Linked DNA regions of Neodiprion lecontei. The protein of the gene in region 2 interacts with the protein of the main gene of each other region in a pairwise test. Links are inferred from orthologs where the notes say so. Each region holds a gene or a part of one and is shown on either strand. Other genes may lie near its edges.

Evidence for each region.
Region 1: the proteins of proliferating cell nuclear antigen (region 2) and uncharacterized protein LOC107216851 interact in a two-hybrid assay, tested with the Drosophila melanogaster proteins (2 studies listed by BioGRID). The link is inferred for Neodiprion lecontei from reciprocal best matches to the Drosophila melanogaster genes PCNA and dap.

Annotation. Positions count from the first base shown.
Region 1 is NC_060263.1:20,993,684-21,000,838, forward strand, and holds the start of uncharacterized protein LOC107216851, read right to left. Parts: upstream 4,343-7,155; 5' UTR 2,156-4,342; coding exon 1,522-2,155; intron 1-1,521.
Region 2 is NC_060260.1:30,414,938-30,424,899, reverse strand, and holds proliferating cell nuclear antigen, read right to left. Parts: upstream 6,577-9,962; 5' UTR 4,433-6,576; coding exon 4,212-4,432; intron 3,784-4,211; coding exon 3,618-3,783; intron 3,200-3,617; coding exon 3,055-3,199; intron 2,155-3,054; coding exon 1,904-2,154; 3' UTR 1,363-1,903; downstream 1-1,362. Other genes in the region: zinc finger protein 37 homolog, read left to right, coding at 1-310. UniProt on the Drosophila melanogaster protein: Likely to be an auxiliary protein of DNA polymerase delta complex and is probably involved in the control of DNA replication and repair by increasing the polymerase's processibility.

The DNA.
Region 1 (7,155 bases), on a different chromosome or scaffold from region 2:
TTATTCCGAAGGTGCTCGTAAATCGTCATATACACATACGTATTGCAGTGTCGCAGATAACACGATAATTTATGCGCAAATCGCGTTCTCGTTTATGTATGTGTGTTTAACCCTCAGATGCATTTATATAATACATATTGTCATTGCAATATATTAATTTAAGAGGCTGGAATTTATAACGTTAGAACGTAACGATGCATTTTTGGGAAAACTTGTTATTTCGCAACTTTGGGACTGCATCTATGAATAAAATTCAGTCAACTTTCACACGGTATTACGGAGCTGATATTTTTGCAAAGAGAACTTCTTTCAAGTCACTCTCAAGCTGCGAAATAGTGATTTTTCGTTAAGCGTTCAGTTTTGATACCGTTACAGTCGTTACTAACTTCAACCTTGTATTAATTTGACACTCTCGTTGGTTTGTGTTGCAGAAAACTACGTCGCAGACAAAAAAACTTTGTGTCACCACGGCGATGACGATGATGATCTTTGCACGAGGCATTCGGGAGAATGGTAGGTAAATTATTTTAAACCGGATGAAACGAGTATAAAAAACACATTACTACAGTTGTCTTCTTAAATATGTACATAAGGATTTTTCGGTTCACTACGTTTTTCAGGTAGTACAGCATATATTGTGTATGACATACATGTTATTCACGTGCAGGTTACAGAGGATTGTCAAGAGTGAGGAGGAACTTCTTTTTGTATGAATGAAGCACGGCACGTGCACGTCTTTTTTATATTATTTTTTTTATCCACGGGTATTAAAATTTACGACACAGGACAGTAGAGGTACATATAGGCTTTCGTTTGGTACATTATACACAAAATTGTAGAGGATAGAGTGAAAGAACAAATTAAGGGGGCAGAAGAAGAGACCGGATGAAAGATTCCATAACTGGAATTTTATAGATGAAAAATGTTACTATTCGTACAATTACTTGATATAAACAATTTTGCTTCAAGTATTAAAAAGAAGTTTTACTCTATCATCGGTATTCACTCATATGTACCTACTACTGATCGATGTGATAAAAACGATCGAGTCGTTGCTTGTTTCGAACACGAACTAAACATGCAAACCTGATATTCTCTACAACCATAAAGAATTTAGTAAAAAGTGATCATAATATATGACCCCGAAAAACTTCATGCAAATACCTCTACATGCGTATAATTATATGCTTTTTTTCGACGAATTTTTTGGCTCTAGTGCTGTCTGAGATATGCTGTACTAGATTGATGTACCGTTGGATTCGTCGTCTCAGTGCAAAAATTTGATATGATTTTTCCCCAAAACTTCTTTTCATTCATTTACACACATTATCACGATGAGTATCGTTCAAGCATATCATCTTTCTCATTCATGAACGATGAAGGAAATGCAATGTTCATTGGCCACAACCAGTTTCTGCGAGGAGTTCTAAATGTCCGAAGAACGAAAAGAGCAGTATGAGGGGGAGGATATCGTCTTCGGTCACGAATCGTGCAGTATTTAATAAAAAAAGAAGGGCTCACCGGTGATCGTTGACTGTTTCCTCGCGGCGTGTGGCAGAACGGGAGTGGTCGGATCGTCGGGGGACTGTTTGAGCCTGACCTCGTCGAGTTCGCGTTCTTCATCGTGAGGACGAGTGGCGTCGGGAGTGGTTTCGTCGTCCGACCGATCGTCGATGTCTGGAACGCGGTGTTCCTGGGGCGGCGTCATCTCGGCGTTTCTCGCGATTAGGGGGGTGGTCGTGACGGTGGAAGGCTTGGCCTCGCTGTTGGCGAGGGTGGCCGCCTTGACCTTAGCCGGTTTTCGGGGTGTGCTGGGAGCGTGTTTCCGCAAGTAGGGCATGCCCCGGAGGGCGTAGGGCTCGGGGACGACCTCCGTCGGCGCGATGACCTCCCAGGTGTACCTCGTCGAGGACCGCGGCACCCCGGACTGGAAGTCGAAGCCCCATCGCTCCGCGTCCAGACGCGATTGGGCCTGCAATTCACGCTCGGCAAGGGCGCGGGCTGCCGCGTGATCGATGGGCCCGAAAAGGTCCCGTCGGATCGGAGCCAGCTCAGCCTTCGTCGGCACGACACGGCCGCGGCCCTGCTGCAAGCCGCCCGCCGAACTCCGGCCCATTTCCGTCATTAGCATCGGGTTCAAAACTCGCGCGCTCATATCTCTCGCCCCTTGGATGCCTCTTGTCGCCGCGGCGCGGCGCTCCGCGAGTCTCTTGGTCAGCACACGCGAGTCGCCCGTCTCGGTCCACCGCCTAGTCTCGTCTCGATTCCTAGCCGCGCTGGGCACCGACAGGCAAACACACAGGAACTTGCGACTCACCGACACACAGGCGCGATTCTCGCCCCGCGCGCGCAGTTACGACGACACACAACGATTATTACACGCCTCCTCTATTGCCGGACTCGGCCAGAAGGTGGGAGAGAGACGGACGAACTATCGTCGTTCAAAATGTCCGCCTCTTTTATCGCTGCACCGACCTCTTCTTATTCACTCAAATATCCATTTCCCAAGAGTTTCAACCCCGATTTAGACCGTTTTCGCAACGATTATAGTAGACGATGTTGTACGGGAACGTTTAGAATACTTTGGAGGCCGGTATCGGGATACTTTCTCTCACGTACTTAAGGATATCTGTTTCTCGTGTGGATTTTCACAGGCGCTGAATCGCGTTGCTGTGGGGCGCACGCCGAATCGAATCGGTATTCGGTACTAACCGCACGGTCAAAAGTCGAGACTCTGTGCTTTTGAAACACCACTTTCCACTACTTTGAACACAAATTCCACCACTTGAATGCTAGCGTGAAATCACACGGGACTATTTATCACACGGCCCGCGTAAACACGTACGCACTTGACACCGATGCGCAAATACACTCGAAGTTTCCAAACGAGCTCCGTACACACGTACGCATATACACACGCACACAGTGCGAACCGAGTTGGAATGGACGAAAAAGAAAAATGCGCGGGCTTCCTCGACTTCGTTCACTTTTTGATCGGTTTGTGGAAAGATTACTGAACAGTACTCCGACGATTATTCCTAGGCTTATATCGCGCACTTCTCTTCTGTTACACTTTATCTCGGCACGTAAGAAAATTCCGATTCACGAAACGACGTCGACCACGGTGATGATGATCAAACTCTCTTCGATGCTTCTCTTTCTCGCGTGGTAGGAACCTCGAGGACTTGACGCGCCCGCGCAGTTAAGTGACCAGCTCACGGTTTAACTTCCGCTTCTGTATGCGTGCTCGTATATACACAGGCGGGTTTTTGTGTGTCTCTGGAAGCAGCGAGCGAGCGAGCAAGTCAACGCTGTCGACGACGAGAGAGAGCGCGGGTTGTGGAGAATATTGAAAATCTGGCAACGTTGCGGTCGGTGCGCGAGGCCTGAGGAACTTCTGAGCGCGGAGCTCGCAACAAACCTTAAACTACACCAACACAACCAACCAGCGACTTGAGGACTGTGGTGGAGAGACGGGCATCCGTGGAAGTTGTCGAGAAATAAGGACGGCGAGATATGCCAGAATGAGATTTTTATACTTTTTTTTTTTTTGCAACGCGTGTGACGTTTTTTTCTTTGACTTTATTCTTCTCGTGTTTTCTTACTTCACGACGTTATACTCAGGTTGTAATTATCAATGGTTGAATTATCATTACTGTTATTAATATTCTTCCGACGACAAAACTACTCCGTTATCATCGGCACCTTGGTGGTTGTGTTTTAAGTAGTATTTTAAAAAAGAGATTTCATTCAATAATCTCCTCCACTTTTTTGAGACAAGAAAATAATCTTAGCAGCAATAAAAAAAAAATTCTTTTCTCAAATCTACACGTGTAACAGACACTGTATACAGGTAATCATTGAACATCTCCTCGTGGGTGTTGCATGTATTCACTTAAGCCACACGATGTGGCAATACGTATAAGTCTGCATGGATATGCGTACACCACCCGTGTGCATATCACACTTCCCGCCAATAACAAAAATGACAGTTGCAGCAGTGGCAAGGCAGAACTCCACTACCACTGCGCGTTATCGCGTTCTATGTATAGATGTACAGGAATTCTTGCGTGTACGAGAAAATCGCGTTATTTTAATTTTTTTTCCTTATATCGTGAAATCTGGGATTAAAATCGCGCCGAGGTTGGTTTCCTGGTCGAGAATCAACGAAATGATCGACAACCGAACGCGGGACTTTCAACTAAAACTCTCCTTCTTTCTTCCTTTCTATTTCTCTCTTTCTCTCGAAGCTTTGTTTGCTTTTTTTTTTCTTTTTTTATTTCAAAACACTGCGCGCGCGCCTCCGTCGCGATCCTGACCGGGCGGTTGTGGAACGCCGTTTGAACGCGTAGAGTTTTTGATTCAGCGTCACACGGCAACTCCACACTCTCCCGATCCCGTCGGGGAGGGGCAAACCGGGTGTCACAGGGAAGGGGAGAGCCAATTGCGCCTCCGTCCCGCCCTCTCCACCCCAATTCTCGCCACGCACCCTCAATCTCTCTTTATCTTTCTCTCTCTCTCTCTGCTCTCTCTTTGTCTCCTGCTCGAACTCCCAATTTATCTGTCTCTCTTATTTCTTGGCCGTCGGTGGCGCCATCAGCCGGGTTTTTCTGCGCCAAAAATTCAACCGCACATTTTCTCGTCTAGGTTAACGTACGCGTCCCTTGGCCTGGCAACGCGTTGGCAGAGGTCGATCATTATCCATGTGATGCACGAAGTCGTCGACGGCGGTTTTTCCTAATTCCTCAATCGTCTGAAGGACTGCGGGCGGGACTCGCGGCCCCTCCATCGTTCTGCCGCATCTTTTCCACCCCCACCATCGCGCTTTTTGGTCAGACGTGGTGGGGCTTCGCGATATTAACCTGTAACCGTTGACCATGCGCACGCAGATCGAATGGGCATGATACGAGTTTCGTATGCGTGTATGCGTGTACGCATTTGTTACACACGCGTTTTCGTATATCACAACGCGACGCTGTACGGCGTGCACGTATCTCATCCTGTACATATAGGTATGTATAAATGTACGTACGCAGAAGCGTATATACGTGCGTGTACACTTTGCACTGCGAGAGTGCAGCTTGATAGCGGTAATTGAGGCGGAGAGATCGCGAACAGAAGAGCGGGATATTTGAATCAGGCTCGATAATTGCGGAAAGGATTGAAATTCTTCTATTTCTTATGTACAGCTTTTTGAGAATATTGTGTACGATTCAAGTCCCGATACAAAATTAAGGAAAAAATATCGTGAAAATAAGACAGAGTTGAATCGTTCATTTCACTCCAAGATTCCGATTCATTATGTATACAAGATTCACATATGTTCATATTGTAATACGTAAACCAAGATTGATGAGACATTTACGACGATCGGAATTCCCGTACCTCCTTTCGAATGTTGTAAACTGTATTAACCGTATTACATGTATGTAAAATAGATACAAGTTCTATCCGATAGATATAATTTTGATCGTTCGATGTGTAAAGCTTGAGTCCAAGATTTTCGGCGAAGAATAAAAAACAAATACGTATCGACGTGTATAGGGTTTTAAGGAGAAAAAATAGACGATTTTTTAACGGTTTTGGAGACCTCTTTAACCTATGCGACGCTCGGCAGAAAATCTCGCGATTCCAATCGCTGATTATATAGGTAACTTTGTTTGTGTATAATTTTATTAGGCAGCTGCTGCGACCCGCGATGTTAGAGAAATAGAAAAACAGATTATAAGGAAAGATCGCTGCCGTCAAACACCGGGTGTGTGCGTTAAATTCGAGATGAAATCGCAATCTGAGAATTGCGGGGGCTAAGTTTTGTTTTATTCATGCCTACCCGTCTATGTACAATCATATACCTATGTATAATATACATACTCAAAGTTTTCGGTTCGTTGATACTTGGTACATAAATAATATTACATAACATGGCTTCCAGTTTGCTGTATTTACATAACATGCAAGAATTTTGCCGCACATTTTGTTTGGTTTATAATTTTTTACATATGAGTAATTCAGCGTTAATTTGCTGTATTGAATTTTGCAGATACCTAATGTACATGCCGAAATGTAAATATGCGAAGACATTTCTCTTTTTGGAAAAGTCATTACAGAAATTTGCGAATCAAAGAAAAAATACCAATATCATTACGAAAATTGTTGTGAAAGTTTTTACTCCGCCAATGTCTTCACATCTTGCATTATATTTTGGTTCCTTCACTATCCACCTTTTTCAAAACCGCGTGTGCCGTGAATATAATTTTATTAACTGTGCGTAACCTCGTGACGATTCGGCGTAACACGGTATGTGTACACCCATATTTATACAATCACGCACAGGTTACATACGTGTAATATTTATCGTTTTGAAGAGGTACAAATATATATTTAAAAAAAATCGTGACTGAAATAACGCTCGCGTAATTTTCAATAATATCGGAACATTCCCCGGCAAGAATTTACGGTCTAACGTGTTCTGCGAATACTCCCTTTTCATTCATCAGCCTCGATTCGCGTTCGTTTCAAGGTCGCCTCGTTTCATTCCTAACGCGACTCTCGACGTAAACAAGTATCAGTGACGGAACGAGTGCCTTCTGCCGCGCAGCGCTGTCGTGTCGTCGTCTTTAACCTCGCGAGAGTCCAACGTAAGTTCTCTAATTATCTATTGCCAGCTCCAACAGCTCCAATCGACGATTCCCGCCTCGCCTTGCCCGCCTCGCTGCTACGCAACGAGATCCGATGGCGATGGCTGCGCTGCGATCGATGCGCCACCGCGCGGCATCGACGTTTAGTTCGAGTCGCGGCCGCCGTCGGCGCCTCTGTCGCCTCGCTTTTTGAGGCGCGAAGCGTTCGAACACCGTTATCGATACTGCGCCACGAGGCGAGGGAGAAGGAGAGAGAGAAAGATGGAGAATGGAAACTGATGAGCGCAATTATGACGGAATTAATGTGTTGTAAAACTTGTTTAATACTGAAACATGCCTGTCACAAATTGCACGAAACATTCAAACTACTATAATTAACGATATCTATCGGCTAATGAAAGACGGTAGAATACAAATTTTAATTTAGAATAACTTGGCGGTAAGAAAAGTCGTATAATTTACAAGTTGAACATGCGGGGGTTTGTTTTCTATTTTTTTACATTACCTACAACGTGAT
Region 2 (9,962 bases):
AGAATGGGTGCGACACATACAAACAGAACATACCGAAGAACAACTCGCGCTCATGAATAATTCAGCGCCTCCAAAACCAAAAAGAGTTCACAGCCATCAAAAATTATGTAACATCTGCCAAAAAGTATTTCCCAGCCATGCATCAATGGTTATTCATCAGAGAACACACACTGGTGAAAAGCCGTTTCTATGTTCATACTGCAAGAAAGGTTTTAATGTTAAAAGTAATTTACTAAGACATCTGCGAACGCTTCATGATAAGTTTGTACACCCTAGCTTATATGGCAGTAATGGTAATAAGAATACTTAAGTTGTTTTCCTTTTTTTTCTTTGCTTTTGCATACCATCATGTGGCTAGGCTTTGTAACGCTGCTGTCAGTTATGAATAGCAGAGCCACTGAAATACATTCATTGCTGAATGTCGACCCGGGTGAGAGAGGACCCCTGATGCGAGTGCCAGGTAGAACTGCGGCGGTAGTGGTCCTCAAGTTCAGCAATAAATGAATGACCCTATACGTATGCAAAACTACAAGATCCAATTTTATGAGACGTGTCAAAAACGAAAGATAGAAATAATCATAGCATTCGTCGGTCATACGGAATGTTCCATTTTCTATTTAAAATTTACTCGTCTAAAATGTGCATGACGATTGAGTAGACTTGTCAAACTTACATAATATCATGCATACACCTGTTACTCCAAGTTATAGAAACAAAGTTTCCACTTGCAGTTTTGACATTTGCCAAGTCCTGTGTAACTTGCATCTATAAAAACGTCTCTACAGTGAATCAAATATTAGGTATAAGATGGATATATAAATATAGTTAAAGTAAAAATCCACTACAAAAAAGCAAAACTAAAATCGGAAAAAAAAAAAAATATTAACATGTAGTTGCAAAATAGTAGACGACAAAGCAATACCAGGGCTTTTTAACCAAAGAGGCTGACAAATATTGCCAAAGTATTACATTTTGTTGCTATTTCGATTTTTGCAAAAATTATTGTAAAAGAATTTACTGAAGTAAAGGGTAATAATAAAAATAATAATAATAATAGTAATAATAATTAATGAATGTACGAGAAATAATGAGTGAACTATTATCTTATAAACATCTTGACCTGAGTAATTGAGTGTATAATATTTCTAGCCATTATTTACCTTCTAATGATCGATATTTAACTACTAAATACTAATTCAAGATCCAAATGACTTAAGATTTAATTATATACTTCTAGGCAATTCGTAAGCTAATTATGTATTTTTATATTACCGTAGCTTGGATAGATTTACGAATTAAGAAATATATTAATTAAATTTTAAACTTCAATTAGGCTAGGTTATGGAATTAAGAGTCACAAAATGTATCAAAAATTTCGGAAATATATTTGGTTCTCCTCTTATGCTACAAACGCAATACTTTCGAAACAAGCACGGCTTATGACAGAAGCTGTTCAATGTACATTGCAAAGTAACTCAACGTTAAATTAATCCATGTGATCACGCTATTCTATTGCAGATTTTAGAGCCAACTCCTCATCACATTAACATTGTGGCCAGCCAAATAATTTTAACTGTACATTTTGCTAATAAATTACCTTCGAAATATCAGTCAGCTTGATTAACTCATTTCGTTGAGAAGTACTTCATATTGTCATCTAGTATTGGTTATAGATATTAGTTACAGAATGTATAAAAGTTGGAAATCGCTCTATGACGATGAAAAATAAGGAATTTATTAAAATATCCAGTGACTAATTCTTCGACTGCTCACATGGATCATTTCTCCAACATCAAGGCACAATGATAGGGTTCATCTCAGAACACACCATGTTTTGCAGTGTTCCAGTTTTGTACAGTAACAAAAATGAGCGGTATAACAACACGAATACCAGATCCTGTCCTTAGTTGTCTTCGTCTTCGATTTTAGGTGCCAAATAATATCTGATGTGTCCAAGTTCCCCAATTTTGTATTCAACAACCAGCGGGACATCGGCAGACATTGAAAGTTGAACTTGAGCAGAAAGGGGTGTTGCTTTTGTAAAACTGTTCAAATACCGGCAAGCAAACGTTAATGATACTGGCTCCTGCATTTCTATGACCACAGCTTCCTCTTCAGCGTCCACATTTGCAGTTTGAGCTAATTTGATGTTGGCTGAAATAATAAAACAAATACCACTAGAAGTAGAGAAACCACTGCCTCGACTATTACATTCATACTATCATAGCTACATGCTTGTGATAACCTGACTTATGTGCATTGACATTGAGATTTTGATTCATTAACAATACAACATAAGAGCAAAATCGTTTGGCTGAATTCAACTGATAATAAACTGACGATTTCAAAATTGTAGAGATGTCACTATATTAACACTTTGCCGTCCGCACGATTCGTAAATATTTATTCGCCTGGCGCCGGCAGCGCTTATTCGGATCACTTGACTTGTCACCGGCCGTTCTTGACATTATCGGGAGATTATAAATTGTTAAGTTTTACTAATTTCGTCGTTAGTTCTCATTTTCAATGTCTTCCCAATCGGCCAAGTCATCCGGAACGTCAGACAAATCGTCCGCGCATTCGTCGTAAATATTTGCATCGTCTCTTTCGTCTGCCATTATGAAAGGGCACAAGAACTTATACAAATAAAAAGTTTGATCACTTGTGTAACTTATTGTTACCGAAACAAAATACCAGCAGAAAGCTAAATACACTAAAGTGTCGTCACCGACCCAGAGCGGTACTGTGCTCACAACACCACTGTGGTGTCGCCGGTCGTTGGCCACCAGTTTGCGCACGTCACCACTGTGCTGTCGCCGGATGGCAAAGTGTTAAATATGTCGGCGATTAATCTCCCTGGTAGTGAAAGGAAGCAACAAAGGTCAATAGATAGTTGAAAAATAAAGCATGGTAAATCTTGTGCTTTGTCAAATATGATCGACAAAATTTAAGTTCTTAGATGTTGCACAAATTTTTTTTATCATTTAATTGAGGTATTATTATCATGAATGTATTTATCTAAATTTACAGTGTAATGATAGTTCATTTGTATACCTGAACCAATATCACCAGCTGAACTAAACTTCACACCTTCCTTGGTACAAGAAATAGCCATGGATTCACCAAACTGGCTCAGATCTCTGCATATACGTGCAAATTCTTGGGAAGGCATTTTAACGATACAAGAATAGTCAGTTTCCTGAAGAAAAAAAATATGATTGTTGATACACTCTGCACCTATCTTCACCTACACATTATCACTAATAACAATACTCAAGGATCAAGGATTATAGTCTTTCCCTAATTCTGTGCAAAATAGGTTTTCTTATAATTGAGATAGCTCACATTGTATTTATTAATGTACCGAGCATTTTACAGTTTCAGAATTCAACTGTTTATGTTACACATGAATTTCAAAAAACTCAAAACGGTTTGGACACAAACATTTGTTTCGTTGCTTGAATCAAATATGTCAAAAATGGACCAAATAGTTTTGCATTGAGAAGTTTGGGTCTTCTTTCGCTGAATTGATAAAACATGAATGAATCTTTCCAACAAAAATATTGCAGAATTCGTATTCCTAATCAGTTATTACTACTTCAAGAACAGGAACTTACTGGAATACCAAGATGTTCCTGATCTAGATTCATAAGTTTCATTTCATAATCTGAAACTTTTTCCTGATTTTTGGATTCAAACATAAATGCAACCACATCAGCATTATCCTGAGCTTTCATCGTAACAGTATCTTCTGCTCCAGCACATTTCATAATTTTTGTCATGCTGAAAATTATAATATTTTGGGTTCAAATCATTGAATTAGTACGACTCGATATGTAACAGGGACGACATGTTGTAAAACAGTGATTCATAATGTTTAGTAACAAAACTGATATTCACGTTGATCAGCTATCAAGTATTAATAAGATGACGATTCAAGACAAAGGGCAAATAAGGTGTGAACGAAATTTGCATTCACTCATGAGTTATCATCATTACTGTTACCCAAAAAATACAAGCAAGTGACGCACAAACGATATTATATTGCCAGTGTTGTCATTTTTCTTGTTAATATACGATGTAATTGCTAAGAATTGCAGATTACTCTTTTCAAGGCTGAGAACAAAGCAGCCGCGTTTAAAATTTTAGTATCGGCACTGTGTGTATAACCTCTCAAAAGAACGGGCGACCAGTTTGATGAAGCAACTTACTTGCCCAGATTCATGCCCATCGATAAATTTCTGTCGCATCTATATTTGTCGAAGCCATCGCTTCGCAGATTCAAAGACACCAAAGAAACGTGAGCATTGTCCATAGCCTGCAACTGAATTCCCGAATCGGAACAGTCGAAGGTGGCTTCGGTTAGGAGGTCCTTTATCGCCTCCAAAACCTTCTTCAATATCGCACTCTGAACCAAACGTGCCTCGAACATTTTTAGCTCCTCTTCGATCAACTTTGAAACTATTAAAAACGAATGTACTTGGTGAAAAGACCCGCAACACAGTCTACAGTAAAGTTACAACCCACAACAAGCCGGCAAGACAGACATTAAACACCGGGACTGGGGAGCAAGATTTTACCCGCGTTTTGTTGGCGCCGAAATCTCTCGAGAGGATGTAGAGGCCCTTACCAGTCTTCTTTATCTACAAGCGCGCCATTATACGAATTCAGTTGAACAAATCCAAAAGCTGAAAGCGTTTGCGGCTCTGTACGCTGACCCCCCCAACACAAGATTGTTCAGAAATTTATTATCGAGTGGCTAAGATTATAATTACTCATACCTGTCCACTTTATTATACATTTATGGCAGTGTCCGTGTTGATTGTTAGGAACTTCGAGTTTGAGAATATGTGTTCCCGACAAAGTCAATACTGTTTTATTCGGAATTTCAGCACTTTTTCGGTAACCCCTAATAATAATATTACCCAGAGGATACAATTGTGTAATGATACTATATATCGGATATCAGAAGCTAAATACTGATATTACCTAAAGATGGATTTTCTGGATTCTTTATAATCAAATTCTCATCAATTATCTACGATATCTTTGTTAAAAAAATACAGATTAAAGGTTGTAAGACCTTCCGAAAGTTTTAAGTATTCTGCTTCCAACAATCCACTAGTCTTTTCTGAGACAAGATTCTGTTCTACCGAAGAATTTCTACAGATTTCCGCAAACAGAATTTATAAATTTTGCAGACTTAGGTAGAAGAATTTTACAAATTGTATAAGAGACATTGTTAGACCGTTAATGATTTACATTATACATGTTAAAATTACAAGGAACTTGTCAGTAATTCATGTAATTGCTTCATAATTATCCAAGAAATATGCATCGTTGATGAGTTATTGGAACAGCATTGGTTTCCGGTGGTGGGCTGATTGTCCGTTTTGGAGAAATATACATAGGTCCATTAAATTCCAAGCGATACTCTTCCTGCGAAGATCGCTATTCAACAATGCGTGTACTGGTCGTTGGAATTGGTGACGAGGCAGCCAACGTATGCGTAAAACGTTTAGTTATTGACGCATCATTTTTTTTTTTTTTTGCGTTTTACGAATGCATCTTCTGGATGGAAGTCCGGCCTTCGCAACTTTCACGGCGTATTTGCAATTTATAAGATGAATATTTATAGCATACGCGTATTACGTATTATCTTACTTAGTACGACCTTTTGTACACACTATTTTATTCACAATTATGTTGTAAGTAACAATAATCACCCGTTGAAAATTTTTCCCACTCAAATAGTCATATTTTTTAATTCAACTGATCTGTGATTTGCGTTCTTAACGGATCACTTCATTCTTGTCGAAGGTCATAAATTTATATCTATAATTTGACAAAGCATTTCTTTTGTGACTTTTGATTGGTTCTAAAATCAATTGGTAATATTTTAAAATGCAGGTTATCATATTAGTTGCCTTTCTTTTTATGTATGTAAGTGTAATGATTTTTTGAACAAAGTATTTAACAGTTGATTCAGTTAAGTTATATAAAAATCAAGCGGGTATACAAATTTGTCATCAAAATTTTTAAATAATTTTCAAGAATATAGATTCAAAAGAGAAGACGGGAGTAAATTTCTTACTGTGCTAGACGGATCACCCGTATCTCGAACGTACAAAATTTGAACATCGTTCTTGTTGTCATTTTTAGTGACCGGTTTTGAATGAGCTTCAATATTTTGTTCTTTATCGTTTGTTATGGGAGACGTGCTCATTTGGTATGCAATTATAGTGTTTTATGTCAACAACCTGTGTCGACTGCGAAAGGTCAAGCCGGGGAGAAAGATGTCGGAATTGCCAAAGGTATGTGCACTTTGTTGACTTTAATTAAGAAACGAAATTTATCAAAAAGAAAAATATATTTACGTGGAATTCACTCTCACTAAACTAGCGAAATCCGAAGGTATTACAATTCCACATGCGTTACACATAACCGAAGCACGAATCTTATTGACAATAAGCTAAATTTATACAAGAATAAAATTGTCATTTGAAAAACTACAATATGTTAGTATTTGACAAATGAAAATAAGTTCGCTTATGCTCGTTTCCACACCACCGCAAGCGGTAGAGCACCCGGCGCGTTTTTTTTTTACGTGGTATCCCCAGTAGGCCTACTCCACGGAGAATACTTGCAAGATCGATCTTACATTCTTCGAAAAATTGCAAATATCTTTTTTTCACATGTTAACTACGGTAAATTGTTTTTCCCAATCAATTTGTATTCGCGGATATTCGGAGTTTGTTCGAAATTTTTCAGTTAATATGACCAGCTGACTATTTATTATCGATCGAAGATGACTGTTTTAATTGTAGATGAAAGTTGGCTGTTTTAATTATAGATGAAGGGTGATAGTTTTTATCTTGTAAGCGAACGGTGATTGTATTTGGATGTTCGGGCACGGTTTTTTTTCTTATGATGTATAAGATAATCACTAAAATGGAGAACTTGGTGAATACGCAAAACAATTCACAACTAAACCAAGATCGAAAATACGAATCGCCGTAAGACGCTGGCATTTACCTATCGGAAGACTAAGCAGAAATCTTTGAAGAAATGGAAACAAATCGGAGTAGGATAAACACAACCACCAAAATACGACAGTGCTATATAATTATACAGTGAAATACAAACCGAACATGACCTATGGGCGACTCGAGAAAAAAAACTATGACACTAAAACGAGCGCAATAAAAGACTGTAAAACCATTAAAAAATAAACTATATACATCGCTAAATCTATGTATCGGTGAAAAGATGACTGACCTTGAACCAGACCTAAACAGTCAATTAACCTCACTTACGTGGAACAGATGAAAATAAAATTAGTGACATATTTCGATATAAACAGAAATATACTTAGCTTAGATAAGTGAAAAATATAATTAACGAATAAGAGACAAATTGATTAGTTAAAACAGTCAAAATATTTGATTAGCTGAAACAGACAAAAGGTTTGATTAACTGAAACGGACAAAAAGCTTAATTAGCCGAAAGAGACAGAAAGTATGATTATCTGAAACAGACAAAAGGTTTCATTAGCTGAAACAGGCAAGAGGTTTGTTTAGCTGAAACAGATAAAACGTTTGATTAGCTGAAAGAGACAGAAAGTTTAATTAGCTGAAACATACAAAAGGTTCGATTAGCTGAAACAAGCAAAAGGTTTGATTAACTGAAACGGACAAAAAGCTTAATTAGCCGAAAGAGACAGAAAGTATAATTATCTGAAACAGACAAAAGGTTTGATTAGCTGAAACAGGCAAGAGGTTTGATTAGCTGAAACAGATAAAACGTTTGATTAGCTGAAAGAGACAGAAAGTTTAATTAGCTGAAACATACAAAAGATTCGATTAGCTGAAACAAGCAAAAGGTTTAATTAACTTGTGAATTAGACAAAAAGTTCGATTGGCTGAAAGAGACAAAGTCTGATTACCTGAAATAGACAAAACGTTTGATTAGCTGAAATAGACAAAAAGTTTGGTTAGCTGAAACAAACAAAAAATTTGATTGGCTAAAACGGATAAAAAGCTTGATCGGCTGAAAGAGACAGAAAATTTGATTAGCTGAATGATTATCTGAAACAGACAGAAGGTTTGATTATTTGAAACAGATAAAAGGTTTGATTATCTGAAACAGACAAAAGATTCAATTACCTGAAACAGACAAAAAGTTTGATTAGCTGAAGAGGACAGAAAGTCTGATTACCTGAAACAAACAAAGATTTCGTTAGCTGAAACAGACGAAGGTGTGGTTAGCACAATCACATAAGTTCATCCACTGACCAAAAATGGGTCGAGTCCAACATAATATTCGCTTTAATATTCATTCTATTGATGTATCAAAAACATTCTAAACTTTTTGAATCGACATTACTTTCTGCGCAAAGTTTTGTTGCCCTGAAATAGAAAATAATACGATCAGTGAAACGACTATTTCTGTACATTTCAGATATATTTCATAAATACTTACGCCAAAATTCTACACTATCAGTATATACTACCGAGATTTTTGTTCCTGCGCGTTGAGCGCCGGCTTTCGAATGCCGCGCTTTCTCGTATAAGTAAGAAGTATCAAGTCCACGCGCAAAAGGCGGCGTGGAACTTGAAAACCTTAAAATTCGTCAAAAAATTGACCCATGAGCTGAAAGATCAGCACATCTCGAGTGCGTAACTCTTTTATATACTGTTTGCAAAATCGACGCGTAAAAAAACGTGTCCGATTCCCGTTAGTAATTTACGCGCAAAAGGCTGCGTCCAATTTTCTTGATTATTCTACGCGCAATAAGGCGCGACAGAATAAACTGTCAAAAAATTTGTATTACCTGGGACTTGCCCCGAAAAATTCTGTAGAAACCCAATCCGCATCTGCATCTTTTCGAATTAGATACATTGCTATGCGGATTGTTCTTCTCAGATTACAAATCGAAATTGGGAGGGAGGTTGGAGGAGGGCATGCATTATTGTGTGGCGTGACGGTCGGCGGTCCTCTTCGACGCGAAGTCTTCGAGCTCAGCATCTCTCCCCATCTAGCGTACCACGGAACGCGATAGATGGTCCAGAGATGCGTTTTGCCCATTCAGACGATCACAGAGTTCAATTGAACGGAATAATGATCGGTAATGACTAAATAATTGAATTGAACAACGATTGAAAAATGGTTGCAGAGTGACAAGAAATAGTAAATTAATTCTCGTTAATATTCAAATGCTTACAAATGGTCGAGAGACTCGAATACGGAGTCTTTTGGGAAAAGAATTTCTGTGATCGTTTGACGCTGTGGATTACAAAAGTTAGTGACATCACGGTACATCGCGACCTTCCTACCCTTGCCTGTTACCCAACGCAACCGCCCAACGGAAAAGAAAGACTCACACACGCATGCATAACCTTGCGACGGATCCCAGAACGTCCACCTACCTACCCGGTTACCTATATTCGATCTAAACGATTCTCCATTTTTTCCAACACACATCATTCTTCTTCATTTGCGCCGTGGTCACTGACTTACATTTTCGTTGGTTACCTGTTGGGAGCAACATGTTTTTGTATCATAGTCTGCCTATTCAGCATACAGTATAGCGGTTGTATCCCGCCAACCCTAATATTGTATGTATTATTTTAGTAAATGTTGGCAGACTATCGGTACATTAACATTTTGTAAAATTGATTAAAAACATCCTGTATGCCAATTAGCATTTTTCTAAGCGAGCTAAGCCTGCAGTTGATCAATATTTGTTGAATGTTAAAAGATTAAAAATGATATATAAGATGCAATTTGATTACGTTACGTTATGCCAGACTTTGGAATTTTATCGATTCAACATTAATGTGAATAATTGAATACGTTCAAACCTCAGGTGATCCCACCGCTTAAACATCATCGGTAAATTCAAACGTAGATTGCTACATCGCTTACGAAACACAATTCGATCTCGCGAATGCTGAGTAAGC